Linked DNA regions of Callithrix jacchus. The protein of the gene in region 1 purifies or fractionates together with the protein of each later gene. This does not show direct contact. Links are inferred from orthologs where the notes say so. Each region holds a gene or a part of one and is shown on either strand. Other genes may lie near its edges.

The links.
Region 2: the proteins of SPDYC (region 1) and CDK1 purify together in Homo sapiens (co-immunoprecipitation; 3 studies listed by BioGRID and IntAct, with this or other methods). This does not show direct contact. The link is inferred for Callithrix jacchus from reciprocal best matches to the Homo sapiens genes SPDYC and CDK1.

The regions. Positions count from the first base shown.
Region 1 is NC_133511.1:122,243,844-122,253,167, reverse strand, and holds SPDYC (speedy protein C), read right to left. Parts: upstream 5,591-9,324; 5' UTR 5,462-5,590; coding exon 5,320-5,461; intron 4,564-5,319; coding exon 4,505-4,563; intron 4,231-4,504; coding exon 4,145-4,230; intron 4,043-4,144; coding exon 3,871-4,042; intron 3,791-3,870; coding exon 3,380-3,790; 3' UTR 3,284-3,379; downstream 1-3,283. UniProt on the Homo sapiens protein: Promotes progression through the cell cycle via binding and activation of CDK1 and CDK2. Involved in the spindle-assembly checkpoint. Required for recruitment of MAD2L1, BUBR1 and BUB1 to kinetochores.
Region 2 is NC_133513.1:69,673,667-69,682,990, reverse strand, and holds the start of CDK1 (cyclin-dependent kinase 1), read left to right. Parts: upstream 1-3,554; 5' UTR 3,555-3,707; intron 3,708-4,070; exon of another isoform or gene 4,071-4,089; intron 4,090-5,238; 5' UTR 5,239-5,263; coding exon 5,264-5,300; intron 5,301-8,609; exon of another isoform or gene 8,610-9,209; intron 9,210-9,324. UniProt on the Homo sapiens protein: Plays a key role in the control of the eukaryotic cell cycle by modulating the centrosome cycle as well as mitotic onset; promotes G2-M transition via association with multiple interphase cyclins.

The DNA.
Region 1 (9,324 bases):
AACCCAGGAGGCAGAGGTTGTGGTGAGCCGAGATCGCACCATTGCACTACAGCCTGGGTAACAAGAGCAAAACTCCGTCTCAAAAAAAAAAATTAAAAATAAAAATACAAAAATTAGCTGGGCATGGTGGTGCACGCCTGTAGTCCCAGCTACTCAGGAGTCTGAGGCAGGAGAATTGCTTGAACCCAGGAGGCAGAGGTTGCAGTGAGTCGAGATCGTGCCATTGCACTCCAGTCTGGGTAACAACAGAGAAACTCTGTCTCAAAAATAAAAAAAATAAAAATACAAAGATTAGCCGGGCACGGTGGCAGGCGCCTATAATCCCAGCTACTCAGGAGGCAGAGGCAAGAGAATCACTTGAACCTAGAGGGTGGAGGTTGCAGTGAGCTGAGATCATGCCACTGCACTCCAGCCTGGGTGACAAAGTGAGACTCCATCTCAAAACAACAACAACAACAACAACAACACTGCTGTAGCAAGAAATGCATGAATACAAAAAACCTCTTCACCAGCCTGACCAAAACAGTGAAATCCTGTTCTCTACTAAAACGACAAAAAATAGTCGGGCGTGGCAGCACGCACTTGTAGTCCCAGCTACTCAGGAGGCTGAGGCAGGAGAATTGCTGGAACCCAGGAGGTGGAGGTTGCAGTGAGCTAAGATTGCACCACTGCATTCCAGCATGGGCAACAGAGTGAAACTCCGTATCAAAACAAAACAAAACAAAAATTAGCCAAGCATGGTGGCAGGTGCCTGTAATCCCAGCTACTTGGGAGGCTGAGGCAGGACAATCGCATGAACCCTGAAGGTGGAGGACACAGTAAGCCATGATCATGCCACTGCGCTCCAGCCTGGGCAACAAAGCAAGACTCTGTCTCAAAAAAAAGGGGAAAAAAATGGCTGGGTGTGGTGGCTCACACCTGTAATCCGAGCACTTTGGGAGGCTGAGGCAGGCAGATCACCTGAGGTCAGGAGTTTGAGACCAGCCTGGCCAATATGGCAAAACCCTGTCTCTACTAAAAAGACAAAAATGAGCTGGGCATGGTGCTGCAAGCCTGTAATCCAAGCTCCTCGGGAGGCTGAGGCTGGAGAATTGCTTGAGCCGGGGAGGTGGAAGTTGCAGTGAGCTAAGATTTCGCCATTGCATTCCATCCTGGGTGATAGAGCAAGACTCCATCTCAAAAAAAAAAAAAAAAGAGAATCTTCTTCAAAATACATTCATAAGTGCACCACAAGATGCAAGGAGTTCTGGTATTTAATAAAAACTGGGTGGGAAATATATACATATCTGGTATGGTGTCTTTTTCTCACAAAATACATTTTCCACACCAATTTTCCAATACCAATGGGGTGTTGAACAATTCAGTTCCATCGTGACACTAACTCCTGGCATTAGCACAGACCCCAGAGGTTAAGGCTTCAGTACCCCAAGGCTAACCCCACTTCAAATACCAGCCAAAAATGGGGTGCCCAGGCAACTGACACTTCTCTGGCAAACTACAAATTAAGGTTCCCCCAACTCCTCCTCAGGTTTGATAATGCAGTAGATGACTACAGAACTTTGAACAGCACCTCACTTCCTAGGGTACTACCTGTTTAATACGAAGGAAACAATTCCGAAACAGCCAGCTGGAAGAGTTGCACAGGGCAAGGCACTGCGGGTGTGGTGCACAGAGCTTCTGTGCCCTCCCCACCCTCCCGGCACATCCACCTGTTTCTTTAACCCAATCTCTAGTCTCCCAGGCTGCATCATCTCACCTCGTTAGCATAAACTCAGGTGTGGTCTTGTTAGGATTAATGGAAATGTGGGGGTTGCTGTCAAGAAAAGACAATTCTATCACTTAGAAAATTACAAGGGTTTCAGGAGCTCTGTCAGGAACCAAATACATGTATGTGTGTCTTGAGACAGGCTCTCACTCTGTCGCCCATGCTGGAGTACACAGGTGTAATCATAGCTCACTGTAGCCTCCAACTCCTGGACTCAAGTGATCCTCCCACCCCAGCCTCCCAAGTAGCTGGGACTACAGGCATGCGCCAACACACTCAGCTAATTTTTAAATTCTTTTTTGTTGAGATGAGGTCTCATTATGTTGGCTGAGGCGGGCAGATCCCGAGGTCAAAAGATCGAGACCATCCTGGCCAACATGGTGAAACCCCGTCTCTACTACAAATACAAAAAAATTAGCTGGGCATGGTGGCACGTGCCTGTAGTCCCAGCTACTCGGGAGGCTGAGGCAGGAGAATTGCTTGAACCGGGGAGGCGGAGGTTGCAGTGAGCCGGGATTGTGCCACTGCACTCCAGTCTGGCGCCTAGCAACAGAGTAAAACTGTATCCAAAAAAAAAAAGAAATTAATCCTTTTGAGTTCCCATGTCTCTTGGGAGGAGGGGGTTGTATTATAATTACAATATTATATTTGATTGCAGCTCAGGGAAGGGATCAAGTCTGATGCCTACGTAAACCTGGTCCTAAAGGCATTTCTAGACTGAATAAAGAGCTGTTTTCCATTCAACTTTTGTTTCCCAATACGTTCGTGGCCCTCTCTTATTTTCTTTGAGAGAGTCTCACCCTGTCATCCAGGCTGGAGGGCAGTGGCACAGTCTCGACTCATTGCAACCTCTGCCTCCCTGGTTCAAGCCATTCTCCCACCTCGGCCTCCAAGTAGCTGGGATCACAGGTGTGTGCCACCATGCCTGGTTAATTTTGGTATCTTTAGTAGAGACAGGGTTTTGCCACGTTGGCCAGGCTAGTTTTGACCTCAAATGATCCACCTGCCTCAGCCTCCCAAAGTGCTAGGATTACAGGCATGAGCCACCACACCCAGCTCCCTGGTCCTCTTCTAAGGCCTGAGGATACCTCATATCATTTAATCCCATCAACGCTGCGTAGATCTCATTATCCATAGGCATGGATATTACAGAGAGGAAAACTGAGGCTCAGGATAACTGAAGGGGCCAAGCTGTCACTACACACTTCTGAAAAAAGAAAAAAGGAAGGGGCAAGCTGTGACACAGCCTGTGCTCATATGTTAAAACCCTGGTAGACTCCCCCTCCCCACCCCGACCAGAGGTCAAGGATCCAGGCCAGGACCTAAGCACAGCTGGTGTCTTGTGGACATGAATTTATTAGAGGGGACCAGGACCAGCATGGGTAAAGCTGCAGGCTGGGAGGAAGGGGCAGGGGTGGGAGCACGGCTGATGGCGTGTGGGTCAGTGGGCCAGCAGGCGTGACATTCTTCACCCTACAGAGCTTCAGTGCCCAGGGCGTGGCAGAAGCTTTGGGAAAACTGGGGAGAGGAGAGAGTGAGACTCAGAGGGGAAACCCGCCAAGCTCACACAGGAGGGGCAGCAGCACTTCGATCCCAGGCCCATGGCCCTCCCTCTCATCCTGTTGGTTCTCCCTCCTGCCTCCCAAGCTCCCACCCCAGATCGAAGCTCCTGTCCTGCCCTATCCTGTACTCACTTCGGAGGCAGTAGGTGTCAGGTTCCAGTTGAATCTGGGGAGGTAAGATGAGGAGAAAGTCCCCACCCCAGGTGTTTTTGAACGCTGAGAGTGAATTTTGGGAGGGAAGGCGATGACACTCCGAGGTCAGAGAAGAGCACTTGAGTGACACAGGCTTAAGTGGGTGGCAGCCGGGGTGCTGGGGCAAGCCACAGGGGGAACAGTGGGGTGGTGAGAGGCCAGGGCCCCGGGGAAGGCGGAAAGGGACCTGTGGACAGACCCTCTGAACCCCGCCATGGTGGGGGCGCCGGTCCCGAGTCCAAGCCCAGTGAAATGGCTCCTTTGCCATGACCTGGGAGGAGCATAGTGGACAGTAAGTGGGGTGGGAACCACCAGCCTTTCCCACACCCCAGGCTGCCCCCCCAGCCTCACCTCCTCACAGCACTGGCGGCTCACGACAGCCCGGAAACCCATCCGTGCCCAGAGCTTATCCCTCTGCTGTAGGAACTTCCCCACTCGTAAACACCAATCTCTTCCCAGGGCCCATGGAAAAATCTGACATTTGGGCCCCTCCAGGTCCTCCTCCATGTCATTTGCAAGGTACCTAGCCACAGAAGCACGGGGTCAAGGAGCAGAGGCCACAGCATCACCCCGCCCCATCAGACACCTCCAGCAAACGCCTCCACTCCCTGTCCCCACCACTCACAGGGCCAAGAACAGGCTGCTGTGGGTGTACTCGCTGAGCTTCAGGCGGGCGCGCTGGAAGTAGACCAGCACCATGGCCAGGAGATACTGCAGAGACAGATGGGGAGGCGGGGGATTAGTTATCCTCTGAGGAGAAGGGGCTTGCATCCAGGTTCATTTGTAACCAAGGAGGTTTTGCTGCAGGGAAAGAAAGTCGGGAAAGCAGTGGGGAGGGGTGTGTGAAGATGAGGGGCAAGGGTGAAACGTGAGCAGCTCTCCCTACCTGACCAGGGCACTCAATAAAGTAGCCACATTCAATTCCCACCAACTCAACCTGACCCTCGGGCGACCCCCAGCCTCCAGCCCCACTGTGCTCCCTCACCTTATCTGAAATCCGGAAGCAGGGGTCTTTGGAGAGGAATTCCTGGACAAAACTGTCCTCTGAAGGTAGAGAAGACGGGACGCAGGTTACCACAGCCTCCGTGGAGAAGAGTGGCATCGGAAGCTGCAAAGCTCAAGCCACCACTCAGCCCTTTTTTTTGGAGACGGAGTTTTGCTCTTGTCCAGGCTGGAGTGCAATAGCACAATCTTGGCTCATTGCAACTTCCACCTCCCTGGTTCAAGCAATTCTCCTGCCTTAGCCTCCCAAGTAGCTGGGATGACAGGCATGTGCCACCATGTCTGGCTAATTTTATAGTTTTAGTAGAGACAGGGTCTCTCCATGTTGGTCAGGCTGGTCTTGAACTTCCAACCTCAGGTGATCCACTCACCTCAGCCTTCCAGAGTGTTGGGATTACAGGTGTGAGCCACTGTGCCTGCCTTCTTTTTTTCTCCCTCTTTTTCTGTTTCCCCCCCCCCCCCCCGTCTCTCTCTCTTTCTTTCTCTGTCTCTTTCTTTCTTAATATAAATAGAGATGGGGTCTCACTATGTTGATCAGGCTGGTCTTCATCTCCTGGCCTCAACTGATCCTCCCATCTCAGCCTCTCAAAGTGTTGGGATTACAGATGTGAGTCATGGCACCTGGCGCTGAACCCAGTTTCTGAGAGGACCCCCTACCCCCGACCTACCTAAGCTGGGTCACCTCAGAGGGAGAGGGCAGAGGCCTCAGATGGCTGTACAGGCAGATGAGACCCCATACTTCACATCTGCCTTCACACTTGGTCTCACAACCCTCCCATGCTAGCCCCACAAACTCACCCAGAAGGTTGAGGAAGGCCTGGAGCTCTTCGTGCTGGCGAAAACTGAGGAACCCATTGCCCCCACCTTGCTGGCTGCAGCCCTCCAGCTCTACCTGGGTCATAACTACAGCGGAAGTGGTGGGGTCTTGGGAGTCATCCATCTCATAGGAGATGGAGATGGAGCAGGGTGACCTGTAGAGAAAGGAGGCTCAGGGTTTACCATGTATCCCCGTGACTCCCACGAATCAAAAGGGTGGTGACAAGGGCCAGGACGGTGGAGGGGTGGGTGTGGAGACTTGGGGGCTCAGAATATAAGGCAGCCAGGTTGCAACAGGAGTGTGGAGGCCAGAAAAGCAGCAAAGAGTTGTTGTAGGCTGCAGCACTCCTGCCCTCCTCCTGGCACCCCAGGACAGGCAGAGTAGCAGCAGCAACAAGCACTGCTGAGGGCTTCCTAAGTGTCTGGAGCTGTGCTTAAGGGCTTTATCTTATTTCATCCTGGTGAGGAGGTATGTTCAACACAGACCCATTTTCAAACAAGGAAACTGAAGGCTGAGGCCTCACAGCCAGTTAAAAGTGAAGCCCTTGGCCTCCAAAACCCAAAGAGGTTTTGTTTGTTTGTTTGTTGAGACAGTCTCTCTCTGTAGCCCAGGCTGAAGTGCAGAGGCACAATCTTGGCTCACTGCAACCTCCTCCTCCCCAGTTCAAGCCATTCTCCACCCTCAGCCTCCAGAGTAGCTGGGATTACAGCCTTGCCACCATGCCCGGCTAATTTTTTTAATTTTTGGTAGAGACAGGGTTTCACTGTGTTGGCCAGGCTGGGCTCGCACTCCTCACCTCAGGTGATCCGCGCGCCTCGACCTCCCAAAGTGCTGGGATTACAGGCATGAGCCACTGTGTTAACTGCTTCTTTTTCAGGCCCCAACTCACAACCACCCCGACCCCTCACCAAAGCAGAATTGAAAGGGCCACTGATCCCTTACACCGAGGGGAAACTGAGGTCCACAGGGAGGAACGAAATTAGAGAAATACCTGGATTTAGAGCAAGTTGAGATGGGGCCACTTCAAACATTTCATGCTCCTGTCCTAAACCCACCCTCAGCCCCGAGAAAAGAGATGCCAACCACCGGGCTGAGAAGAAAGTGCGGTCGACCACCCCAGGGCCAATTTGGGCCTCTTCATGTAGATGCCCATAAGCAGAAGCAGCCCAGCCTCCTCCTGCAGAGAGCCTTACCCGGCCTCAGGAATTGCCCACAGCATAAAACCCAGGCCACCCAACCAGTGCACTTATATACCCTGAGGGCTGCCCGCCCAACGCAGCCCGTCCACCAATCAGGGCCTCCCTGGGGGCGTGGTTTGGCCTACACCGCCCGCCTCTCTGCCTGTGAACCCAGTCAGCACCCAGCTGCGGCTCCCCAGGGTGAAAGCCTCTCCGAAGTTTCATCAGCTACAAGAGGGGTGAAGGCAGGCCAGCTGGACCCCAGGGCCTGAGATACCATAGGAAGGGCAGGGAGCTAGGATCCGCGTTACCCTCTTGACAAATGCAGCGCCAAGGGGCTGAGCCGAGAAATGAGGCCTGGGCTACCAGGGCCAGGTGGGTGAGTTTTGATTCACTGACTGTGCCTTGCTGGGGCAGGGTCTCTGGCTCTCTGTGGGTGTCTCTGAATTTCACTGAGGCTCCCTGGGTCTCTCTTTTCTTTCTTTTGTCTTTTATTTTATTTTTCCCCTGGTAACACAGAACAAGCTGCCTGGGTCTCACACTTGATCTCAGCCGAAAGGCCGGGAAGCAATAGGCTGCCCGGGTCTCCATGGGCCTCTGAGTCTTTCCGTTTCTTGTTGCCTCTGGTGTCTGGATGTCTCTGGATCCTTTGATCTCTCTGATCTCTGGGTCTCTGGTCTGTCTGTGTTTCATGGTCTCCCCCGGCCACCTCCCAGGCTCCCTGAGGCCAGCAAGGCCTTTCTAGACCAGCTGGTCTGCATCAGGCCATCCTGTTTGTGTGTGTGCATGCATGTGAAGATGGCCTCCCTTAGAAAGGAAGCAGTGAGCGGGGCAGCCTCCATAGCCAGCTCCCGAAACACCTACTGAGGAGGCTGTGTTGGAGTCAGCTCGCGTGTTCCGCACAGTGAGCCCATGAAATTGATGAGAATGATAAGATGCCTCATTTTATCAACGAACAAACAAATAACAGCAGAGTCTGGGTTGCTCACTGAGAGGCTGAGTAACTTCCTGCCAGCCTGGCCGCTGAGCACACGTGCCAGGTGGCCTGGCTTTGTGGTCCATGGCTGTTCCTGAACACAGCCTGCACAGAGAAGGTGTCCCATGAAACTGAATGAATCCCCTCGACCAGCTGTGGTTTCAACCTTTCTCCTCTCCCTGCAATAACTAAGGTTCGAGATCAGGAAGGGGTAGCAAAAGGACGTCTGGGAGTGGGCTAGTCACTCTAGCCTTGGGAGGGTGTCCAGGCTCATTTCCCTAAGTGCCAGCCTTGGAGATGTGACACTGATATCCCACACTGGGAACAATACTTTTTTTAAATTTTGTTTTTTTGAGACAGAATCTTACTTTGTTGCCCAGGCTGGAATGCAGTGGCACAATCTCAGGTCACTGCAACCTCCGCCTCCCAGGTTCAAGCAAGTCTCCTGCCTCAGCCTCCCAGCTGGGACTACAGGTGTGTGCCACCATGCCTGGCTAATTTTTTTTTTGAGATGGAGTCGCTGAGCTTGAGTGCAGTGGTGCGATCTCAGCTGACTGCAATCTCTGCCTCCCAGGTTCCAGCAATTCTGTCTTAGCCTCCCGAGTAGCTGAGCTTACAAGCACCCACCATCATGCCCGGGTAATTTTCCTATTTTTAGTAGAGATGGGTTTTCACCATGTTGGCCAGGCTAGTCTCAAAGTCCTCACCTCAGGTAATCCACCTGCCTGGGCCTCCCAAAGTGCTGGGATTACAGGCGTGTACCACCACGCCTTGCTAATCTTTGTTTTGTTTTTGAGACAGAGTCTTGCTCTGTCACCCAGGCTGGAGTGATCTCAGCTCATTGCAACCTCTACCTCCCGGGTTCAAGCAATCTTCCCACCTCAGCCTCCCTAGTAGCTGGAATTATAGGCAAGCGCCACCATACCTGGCTAATTTTTATATTTTTAGTAGAGACAGGGTATCACCATATTGGCCAGGCTGATCTTGAACTCCTGACCTCAAGTGATCTGTCCACCTCAGCCTCCCAAAGTGCTGGGGTCACAGGCATAAGCCACAGCGCCTGGCCCACAGTTTGGCTTTGACTCTGCTCTACGTCTTCTGCATCCCAGAACCCTGGCAAGAGAGGACTCTGGGATACAGAAGACATGAAGCAGAGCATCAAAGCACCTCTTTGATGCTTTCAAAGCTCCAGTGTGGTTCTGCCACTGTGCTTTTCCATCTGCCCTGAGCCTGGTGTCCCCCTGGTAGGGGCAGCCTCTCTTGCCAGGGTTCTGGGACACAGAAGACATGGGCAGAGTCAAAGCCAAACTGTGAAATGCATGTAATATGAGGAAGAAATAAACTTTTGAAAACCACTGAGACTGGAGGGTTATTATTGTATTGGATTTCTATTTGTTGCTGTACCAAATTACCACAAACCTAGTGGATTAAAACAACACCTGTTTATTACTTTACTGTTCTAGAGGTCAGACGTCCAAAACAGGTATCACTAGGTTCAAATCCAGGTGGCAGCAGGGTTCCTCGCTCTGGGAGTTCTAGGAGGCGTTTTCTTGCCTTTTCCAGCTTCCAATGGCTGCTGGCATTCCCAGTTTATGACTTCCTTTTTCCCTCTCCAAACACAGTGACTCGGCATCTTCAAATCTCTCTGACTCTGACCCCGCTTCTGCCTCTCTCTCTGCCTCTCTCTCTCTCTCTCTCTCTTTCTCTCTCTCTCTCTCTCTCTCTCTCTTAAGAGGGAGTCTTGCTCTTGTTGCCCAGGATAGAGTGCAATGCAACAATCTCGGCTCACTGCAACCTCTGCCTCCTGGGTTCAAGAGATTGTCCTGCCTCTG
Region 2 (9,324 bases), on another chromosome or scaffold:
TACTATGTTGCCCTGGCTGGTCTCAAACTCTTAGTCTCAAGGGATCCTCCATCTTGGCCTCCCAAATTGCTGGGATTACAGGTGTGAACCACTGTGCTGGGCCAATTTTTACAATTTTTATTCAGTAGCAGTGGAGGCCTTGGCAAGACTGATTCATTCATTCATTCATTCATTCATTTATTTTGGGGCTGGGGTAGTACATTCACATGGCTCAACATTTGAAAGATACAAAACTCTCCTTTCTCACCTCTGCCAGGTCACTCTTGTGTTCCACAGAGGCATATTTTTATTAGTTTCTTCCACCTCCTTTCCAAGGTGTATTTTCTTTTTCCTTTTCTTTATTTTTGAGTTGGAGTCTTGCTGTGTCACCCAGGCAATGGTGCAGCCTTGGCTCACTACAATCTCCACCTCCCAGGTTCAAGCAATTCGCCTGCCTCAGTCTTTGGAGTAGGTGGGGTTACAGGTGCCTGCCACCACACCTGGCTAATTTTTGTATTTTTAGTAGAGATGGGGTTTCACCCTATTGGCCAGGCTGGTCTCTTGGCCAGGCTGGTCTTGAACTCCTGACATTGTGATCCACCCGCCTAGGCCTCCCAAAGTGATGGGATTACACGCATGAGCCACTGTGCCCTCCTAAGGTGTATTTTTAAGCAAATGTTCGCAAATATTTCTTATCTAAAAAAACCACTTGTCTTGACCTGGGCTGCCACAACAAAATGCCATAGACTAGGTGGCTTAAACAACAAAATTTTATTTTCCCTGAGTTCTGGAGGCTCAGTGTGCAAGTTCAGAGGGCGGGCAACATCAGATTCTGATGCAGGCTCTCTTCCTCACAGATGGAATTCTAATGTCACATGGCAGAGAGTGAGAGTTACCAAGCTGTTGGGCTTTTCTTCTTAATGAGAGCCCTAAACCCATCATGAGAGCTTCACCTTCATGACCTCATCTAAACCTAATTACCTCCCAAAGCCCCGTCTCCAAACATCACCCCAGCTGGGTGAGAACCTCAATATATGAACTTGGGGAGTCGGGGGAGAACAAACATTCAACATAGCAATACTTAAATATAAAAATAAATAAATAAGACTTACATGCAATACCATTCTTTTCCTTCCAAAATGCATTTACCAAAATATAAATATGACAATTTTCAGAGCACATGCCTGCCCTTGCTCTCCTCTTCAGATTTTTTTTTTTCATACCACCTCTAGGGTAGTTTTACTAAGATATGGTTCTAAGGCTGCGTGTCCCTTTCCTGCTCAGATCCTTTGGAACAGTGTTCAGGGCTCCTCAGGATTCTGACTCCAAACTCCCTTTTCTGACTTTAACGTCACAGGATGCAGCACTCCCTGCATTTTACCACAGAGGGCACCCTAAATTACTTGGGTTGACTTTCTGGCCTCTGTGCTTTACTCATACAATTTCCTCTGTTTCCCCAGCATTTGCTCAAATGTCCCTTCCGTTTGCATTAGCAATTTCCTCCTCTGTGTTCTCACATCGCCCTATAACGTAAGTTCCAAGGTGAATACCAGAAGAGAATCCCTCAGTAATCATCCTGTTCCCCTACTCTCAACACCTCCAGCAGTAATTGGATCTTATTCATTTTTGTGTCTATGAAGCACAGTGTTGCACTTTAGAGACACTATATAGAAGTTGGTCCAAAGGGTAATAAACTGTATTTGCCAAGATGATAACATGGATTTACAAGAACCTCTGAAACTTTATATAGAAAGATGATTGAGTTAATTGGTACACCTAGCATCACAGTTGTGGAAGCTTGTGGTCTTCTTTATGTTGAAGGTAAAATGGATATAATAAATTAGTTGCCATTTTTAGATGATACAGAAATTGAATTCCTTAAGCCTCTCAAAGAGAAAGACATATTAAAATTCATAAAACCAGTACCATAAACTGCACGGAACAGCCTGGATCCTGAAAGCACTTCTCTGGGGCAGTCAGTTTTCATTTAAACAATGAACTTTTTATTTTAAAAGTTTTAAAAGTTATTAGGCTCCAGCAGGAGTTCTTAAATTCCTACCTCCACCATGAATCCCAAATGCTCTGCCTCTGTCACCTAGGAGCAAAAATTTTCAAGATTGAGCCAGATGCAAAGTATAGCACCAGACGATAGATGCAGCTCATTGTGTAAAAAGGTATTAAACACTTAAATGCATGTGATATAGTCTATATCACAAGGATAAGGAAGTTCCATTCCATATCCTAATTTGGGTCTTCTAATACATATTTGTAGTGGGTGTGGCAATCAGTCTTTGTTCTATGTCCTATTAGGGTCAATGCAACTAAAAATCCTTAAAATGGAGACTTTCATTACGTCTAGCTCTGTTTTATTTACTTATTTTAAAAAGACGTCAGAATGGTGTTTAGGTTGAGCTGGTGATTACACTTGTAATCCCAGCACATTCAGAGGCCAAGGCAGGAGGATCCATGGAGCCTAGGATTGGAGGCCAGCTAGGGTAACATGAGGAGACTCTGTCTCTGCAAACAAGCAGAAGAAAGAAAGGGAGAAACAGAGAGAAAGAGAGAGAGAAAGAAAGAAAAGAAAAAAGAGAGAGGGAGGGAGGGAGAAAGGAAGGGAAGGAAGGAAGGAAGGAAAAGAGGGAGGGAAAAAGATATTGAAGTGCAGTAAGTGCAGAAATCGCTCTTAAGGATATTGTGGAGGGCATTGAAGACAGCGTTTTTGACACTGTATTATTTAAAGCATAATTTAAGTCTGTTTTTCTTCCCTCATACAATTGTGAATTTTTGTGTTTTCATAATATTTAAGCCGGGCGTGAAACCGGACGTTGTGCCGAGTGCCTGTACTCGCAGCTACTCCGGAGGCTGAGGCCAATTGCTTGAGTCCAGGAGTTGGGGGCCAGAATAAGCAACGTGATGAGACCCAGTCTCTAAATATATGTCTCTCTATATATTTAAAATTCTGATGTGAAAATATTTTAAAATTTAAAACATTTCAAATGTTTTAAACAAAAATGTAAATAATAAATTAAAATTCAAACGAAGTAGAAACAAAGCACAACGATATAAATAATAAATATTCTTTTACATTTTTGAGGCGGTCTGTTGAGTTTTCCATTTTCTTCTTAAGGTGGCTGAAATGTGCTCTTTGGAGCCAGCCCGCAAATCACGCATTTAGAAAAACGTAACTATACACTGCTTACCCTAAGTATTAGATGTTAAAGTAATGGAATCTGGATGTAAACACAATATCCCTTTTTTGCTTTGAGTGATGAGCTATTTTGAGTGTAATAAATTTGAACTGTGGCAATGCTGGGAGAAAAAAACTAAAAAAAAGAACGGAGCAAGTAGTAGCTTCCCGCTCCGCTGACTAGAAACAGTAGGACGACACTCTCAGGGCTGGAGAGCGCCCGCCCTCCTGCTTTTTCTCCAGCCGCCCTTTCCTCTCTCTTTCGCGCTCTACCCACCCACGAGGCCTGCCCAAGCGTAGCTGGGCTCTGATTGGCTGCTTTGAAAGTCTACGGGCTACCTGATTGGTGGATCTGGGACCCTTTAGCGCGGCGAGTTTGAAACTGCTCGCACTTCGCTTCAAAGCTGGCTCTTGGAAGTTGAGCGGAAAGCGACGTGGCTGTGGTAGTTGCCTCTGCTGCCGCCGTGGGATAATAAGCCGGGTAGAGTGGCTGGTGTCGGGGTCGCTCCTAGAGGCTGAGCCCAGGGGCCTCAGAGGCTGGGTATTGAGGAACGGAGTCCTCATAGGAGGCCGGGCTTGGGGAGCAGGGATCTGCGCAGAGCCAGGCTGGGTCTCTGGAGGGCAGGCAGGGCCTTCTCCTGGGCCGGGGCCTGGGCATGTGAGCCACACCGGGCCGGCTTTAGAGTGAGGCTGACGGAGCCCAGCCGGGGTTGTGGGGGTGGCGGTTGGGGCTGCCTGCAGTCAGGGCTCGAGGTCGGCTTCTCTCAGAAACTTACTGGGGAGGCTTTCGGGTCAAGGTTGAAGCACAATCCGCTCCCCTATGGTGAGCGCCTGCGAAGTGGCCGGCTCCTTCCTGCACCCGCCCCCTGCGCGCCCTCCCATCCTGCCTCGGGGGTGAGCAAGCGGCACCGCACCTGGGCCAGGTACGGGCGCAGGTTCCTAAAGCCAGGCCGCCCTGAGAAACAGCTCCCGGGACTCGTGGGCCTTCTCGAGCTGGCTCTGCCCACGGCCCCGGCCCACCTGGAGTTTTTAAGAACACTCAGCCCAGGCACTCAACACTCAAGAGCAGTGTAGTGCAGTTTTTGTTGTTGTTGTTGTTTTCATTTAGAAATATACCTCGGCTTCCTTCTGGATTGATTTTTCTTTGAAGATGAATGAGAAATAGAACTTAAAAATCTATTCAGAGTGGTATTTATAAATGATTTTATCGTCAGGGATGCGTGTTAGAAAAATCGAAGTAATTATGCCTGGACTTCTGACGTTTCATTGGCAAACTTAAGAGGAAGTCTTGAACTTCTGATTGTCAGCTCTTTTTTTTTTAACCATTCATTGTGATTCAAGTATACAGCGTTTCTGCTTGGTCCTTGAAATTGCGTAGGCTATAATTATAATTTATCTGTAGAATTGCACTTTTCATTCTTTTGTTTTAGCGTGCTTAAGTGGTATTTCCTACTCGTGCAAAAAGTATCTTGAAAGCCTTGAGCATGTTTTTCTGTGACCTCTACAAGCAAAGGAAAAAGATTAAAATTGTCACGTGGGCAACTGTAAACACTTACACGTTTTTGCCGCTTTAAACACAATCTTCCTAATGAACAGTCTGAACACATTTTAGTTCTATATCTTTAAAAAACCGTGTTTTGCATAATGTTAGGAATATCATAAAGCGGTATAAATTTGTTGAAATATTTCGGTATAAACAAAAAAAATTTCGGTATAACTTTGGTACATGCTGGTACTACTTTAAATTGTCAAATAAAGGGAACATTCTGGTTTTTGTTTGGAAAGAACAGACAAATTGATTTCTGAATTTGAGGGTTATTTTGATTGGAAGACGCTAAATACTATACTAGGATGGAATATACAAATGTTTCCAATGTCTCAGGAGTCAAGAAGGATGGAAAGTTATTGTAGGAGTTCTTACCCTTGTAAATATTTGAATGTAATTAATATTTATGGAATATTTACTATACTGCAGTATGCATTGTGGAAAATGCTTTATATATAGTATCTCAATACTTAAAACTACTCGAGTTAGTGGCATGTAATTAAGTCAGTTTTTCCCTTCATTTTAGGATCTACCATACCTATTGACTAACTATGGAAGATTATACTAAAATAGAGAAAATTGGAGAAGGTGAGTGGCTTTAGTAATATAACATTTTTTAGAATGATTTAACAATGCTACCACCAACTTCTGTAATATGAACACATGTAAATATTTGTTAAAATTTAACGACTAAGATGTCTTGTAATATCAATGTATATTAATATATGTTGTTTACATAGTAACTTAAACACAAATTTGTTCATATTTCAAGAGAATCAAAATTATTGAGTCCCTAATGATCCTTCCCCTCACCCCCATAGTCTTACATTCTGCTGATACCCAACACTTACAGCATTACTCTTGTTTTGAAGACACTGTTGATAACTTGTACATGTATTTAGGGACAGAGGTTAGGGCAGCAGCATTATGCTAATTTCATAATATATTTTTAGTCTCAGTTATTTTTAAGATGATAAATGTTTTTATTCAGATTTTCTAGACTGGTTACAATAATTGACTTAATCTTCTATTAAGTCAGTCTTGACTTAAGTTAATTTTGATATTTAGTTACCTTAAGTATAAATGACCTGTCATATGTAGGTGTTTAATCTATTCTAAAACTATAACTTATGTATATAATCATTCCCTTTCTGTGATACTTGAAGGAATGTTTAGCTCTATATATGGCACAAATCATATCCCTTAACCTGTCCCCTTGAGTCCCGCAACAGAACATCCCAGTTTCTTTCCAGGAGTTTTGACATTCTCAATTCTCCGGGAACAAAATAATTTGCTAATAGAGTCCAGTTTGTATAGGTTCTGGCTGAAGAAAATTCCCAACTATATTTTTAATGTGATCAAAGACTCCACTTGGGAAGAAATAATAAAAAACAATGGGGCTATACTGGAGGGAATTTAGTGAAATAGGAATGACAAGTTAGTGTAGTGGTAGATTGGATGTGTGTGTGTGTGTATATATTTTTTAATCACTTAAATACCTAATTCATACCCATTCTAAATGAATTTTGCTGCTGAATTACAAATATGTGATAAGTATGTCTAATGCCTTGTAGTATGTTTCTTAAATTTTCAGAGAATTAGTGTTGATTGCAGTTTGGCATAAAAGGAGACCTTTTTTTTTTCCTTCATTTTGTTTTTATTATAGCATGTTTGCTTAATTTACAGCAAGCAGAAAATAAGCTGGGTCTTGTTTTGATCCAAACATTGATGTTTTAAAGGTTGTACACAATATTTCTTAAAAAGAACATATAAAAGTACCTTTTTAGAAGCCTCTATAAGAAAGAAAATACAAAGTTTAACCCCACAACTTTCCTCTTTTCTAGAACTGCAAACTACTGCTACAGTTTTAAATAGACTTTTTGTTGTTTATACATCCAGGAAAATCTAAAAAATTAAAGAAACGTGCATATAAATGATTGCATAGCAGAACATGAACATTAACTGCAAACAGTAAAGAAATGAAGATTAGAAATACTATCAAATATACAAAGGTTCTAAAATAATCAGTCCTTTAAACACATTCCACAAGCAGTATTTAAAATCCATCATTTTATTCTTTACAGGCAAAGCCTAGATTCCAAAAACCAAAATTGAAAAAAGTAATTCTCTAAAAGGAATTGTTTCTCCATAGTTCTTACTTATATCTGTAAGCAAGCAATCTGATTTTTAAAGATGCTAGCTTTTTATTCTGAAATGAAATTGGGCATGTCAAGTCACTTTTGTCCCCCAAACAATCTTTCAGAGAAATACTAGAAATTAGAAATGGGTAAGGATATTACTTCATTTTTTAGTCAGCTACTACACTCATAATCACAAACTCAGATGTGACTCTTGCTCAAAACTAATGCTTTTTCCAAAATTATTTTTAATTTCATGGTACCACAGAATCGCCTAGAATGAGTGTTATCTTTCAACTTGCCTCATATTAAATAAACTAAGGTGTGAAAAGCAGGCCTCGCTCATAAAGAGGCAGGCAAATTTTGATACAAATGCACAGGCCAAGTGCTGTAAGCATCAAAAAATTTTAGTTCTTTTACACTGTGCACACACACACACACAGAAGCTACTTTGAAACAATTTACTCCCTTCTAACAGCAGTAAGAAAACTAAGCAATATTATGGTCAACAATGCTCCTTAAACTTCAGAATAATTACATAAGAATATTCCTTTCTCCTTAAAATTATTTTTGCTGTTGTTGACCTGCTCAAATTTTAGGATAAGTTTTCGTGTTTTCTATGTTCCAAATCTTCACAGGAACCAGAAAAAAAGCAGTGAAGCCTCTGTGTTTCAGTCAAAAACTCAATCTCCCTGAAAATACTACCTAACCCAGCTGGCATCATTCCCCCAAGACAGTGGGGTTAACAAAAGAACTAATCCACACTTCATCATAAGTAATTATCATGGGCCTAGACTTTTTTTTTTTTGAGTTGGAGTCTCACTCCATCACCCAGGCTGGAGTGCAGTGATGCAATCTTGGCTCACTGCAACTGTCACCTCCCAGGTTCCAGCAATTCCCCTGCCTCAGCCTCCCAAGTAGCTGGGATTACAAGCGTGCACCACCACGCCCAGCTAATTCTGTCTTTTTAGCAGAGGGTATTTCATCCTGTTGGTCAGGCTGGTCTCGAATGCCTGACCTCATGACCCACCTACCTCGGCCTCCCAAAGTGCTGGGATTACAGGCATGAGCCACTGCGCCTGGCCGGGCCTAGACATTTTGACAAGACATAAAAGCCCACCCTGAACCTAAATGTGTCTGAGCAGTCAGTGCTGTACTGTGGCTACTACTTCACTTTTGTATCATTTTATCTTATTAGCAAGCTACATTTCTAGGTTAACAGTTCCACCAAATATGAATATGAAAGTTTATTTTTAATGAGACAGTATTGCAAATTATGGTCAACTAACATCTTTTCACCAAACACTTCAAGCATAAAAAATGAGAATCTTTACAAAAAATGTACAGAGACACCACAAATTGGTAGCTTCCCGCCCATAACATTAAACATACTGGACTCTTAAGAGTGGCTTCTCAACAGCATATGGTTTTAATTATAACCATTGCCTGGTACAGGGAAAACTAACAAGGGTTTTTTAAGCATCATTGCAACATTGTATTCCTGATAATTTAAGTAAACAAAACTATGAGTAAATGATACATGCCTAAACATGACCATGGTTTATACTATCAGTGGCCACTGGACTTAGGACTAGTCCAAGACCTTGATCTAGATTTTGACCTAGACCTAGACTGTGATCTTGACTGAGATTTGGATCTAGGTGGTTCTTTTTTCCTTGATTCCTTTTCATATCTTGAGCCAGACTTATAATGTGTTTTGGAATCTGTTTTAGAGGTGCCTCTAAGTTTTGGTGTGAGATGCAGACCTAGAACGTGATTTAGCCTTCATTTTTTGGGGGGGCTGGGTCTTGGACCGTGATCTTGAATTGGATTTAGATTTTGAAAAAGATCAATTTCGGTGCTTGAATCTATCATTGTCTGAATGGCTTCTCCTATGCCGTGGTCTTCCAGTCGGTCTACGCTTTCTAGGACTATACGATCTTCTATAGTTGTAATCAAAAGACCGACTTCTTGATCTCCTTCTTTTGTGACTTCGGCTTCTTGAACGTCTGTATCTGTCATAATCATCATAGCGTGAAGAACTATACGCATTCCTCCCTTCCTTGACTTTCATCTGATTTGGTGTCTTCCAGTCCCCCTGAGCAAACTGTATTTCAATCTGCTGTTTACAAATCCACTTTCTGTCCAAATTATGTAAAGCATCTTCAGCATCACGACCATACTCAAATTGAACATAAGCAAATCCTCTTGGACGGTGAGTGTAGAAATCAAGTGGAACATACACATCAACTATAGGACCATAACGACCAAATTCATGCTGTAAATCTTCAGACCTGGTATTGTAGGCCACGTTCCTGACGAACAGAGACGTGTTTGGGGGATGCAGGTAGCTGGACATGGCGGCGGCGTGTCTTGGCCAGGTGCACTAACGGGTTCAGCAAACCGTCCGCGGCTCCGGCGCCGAAGCCTCAGACACATACAGCCAGAGGGCTCTGCTACGACAACTGCCTCTT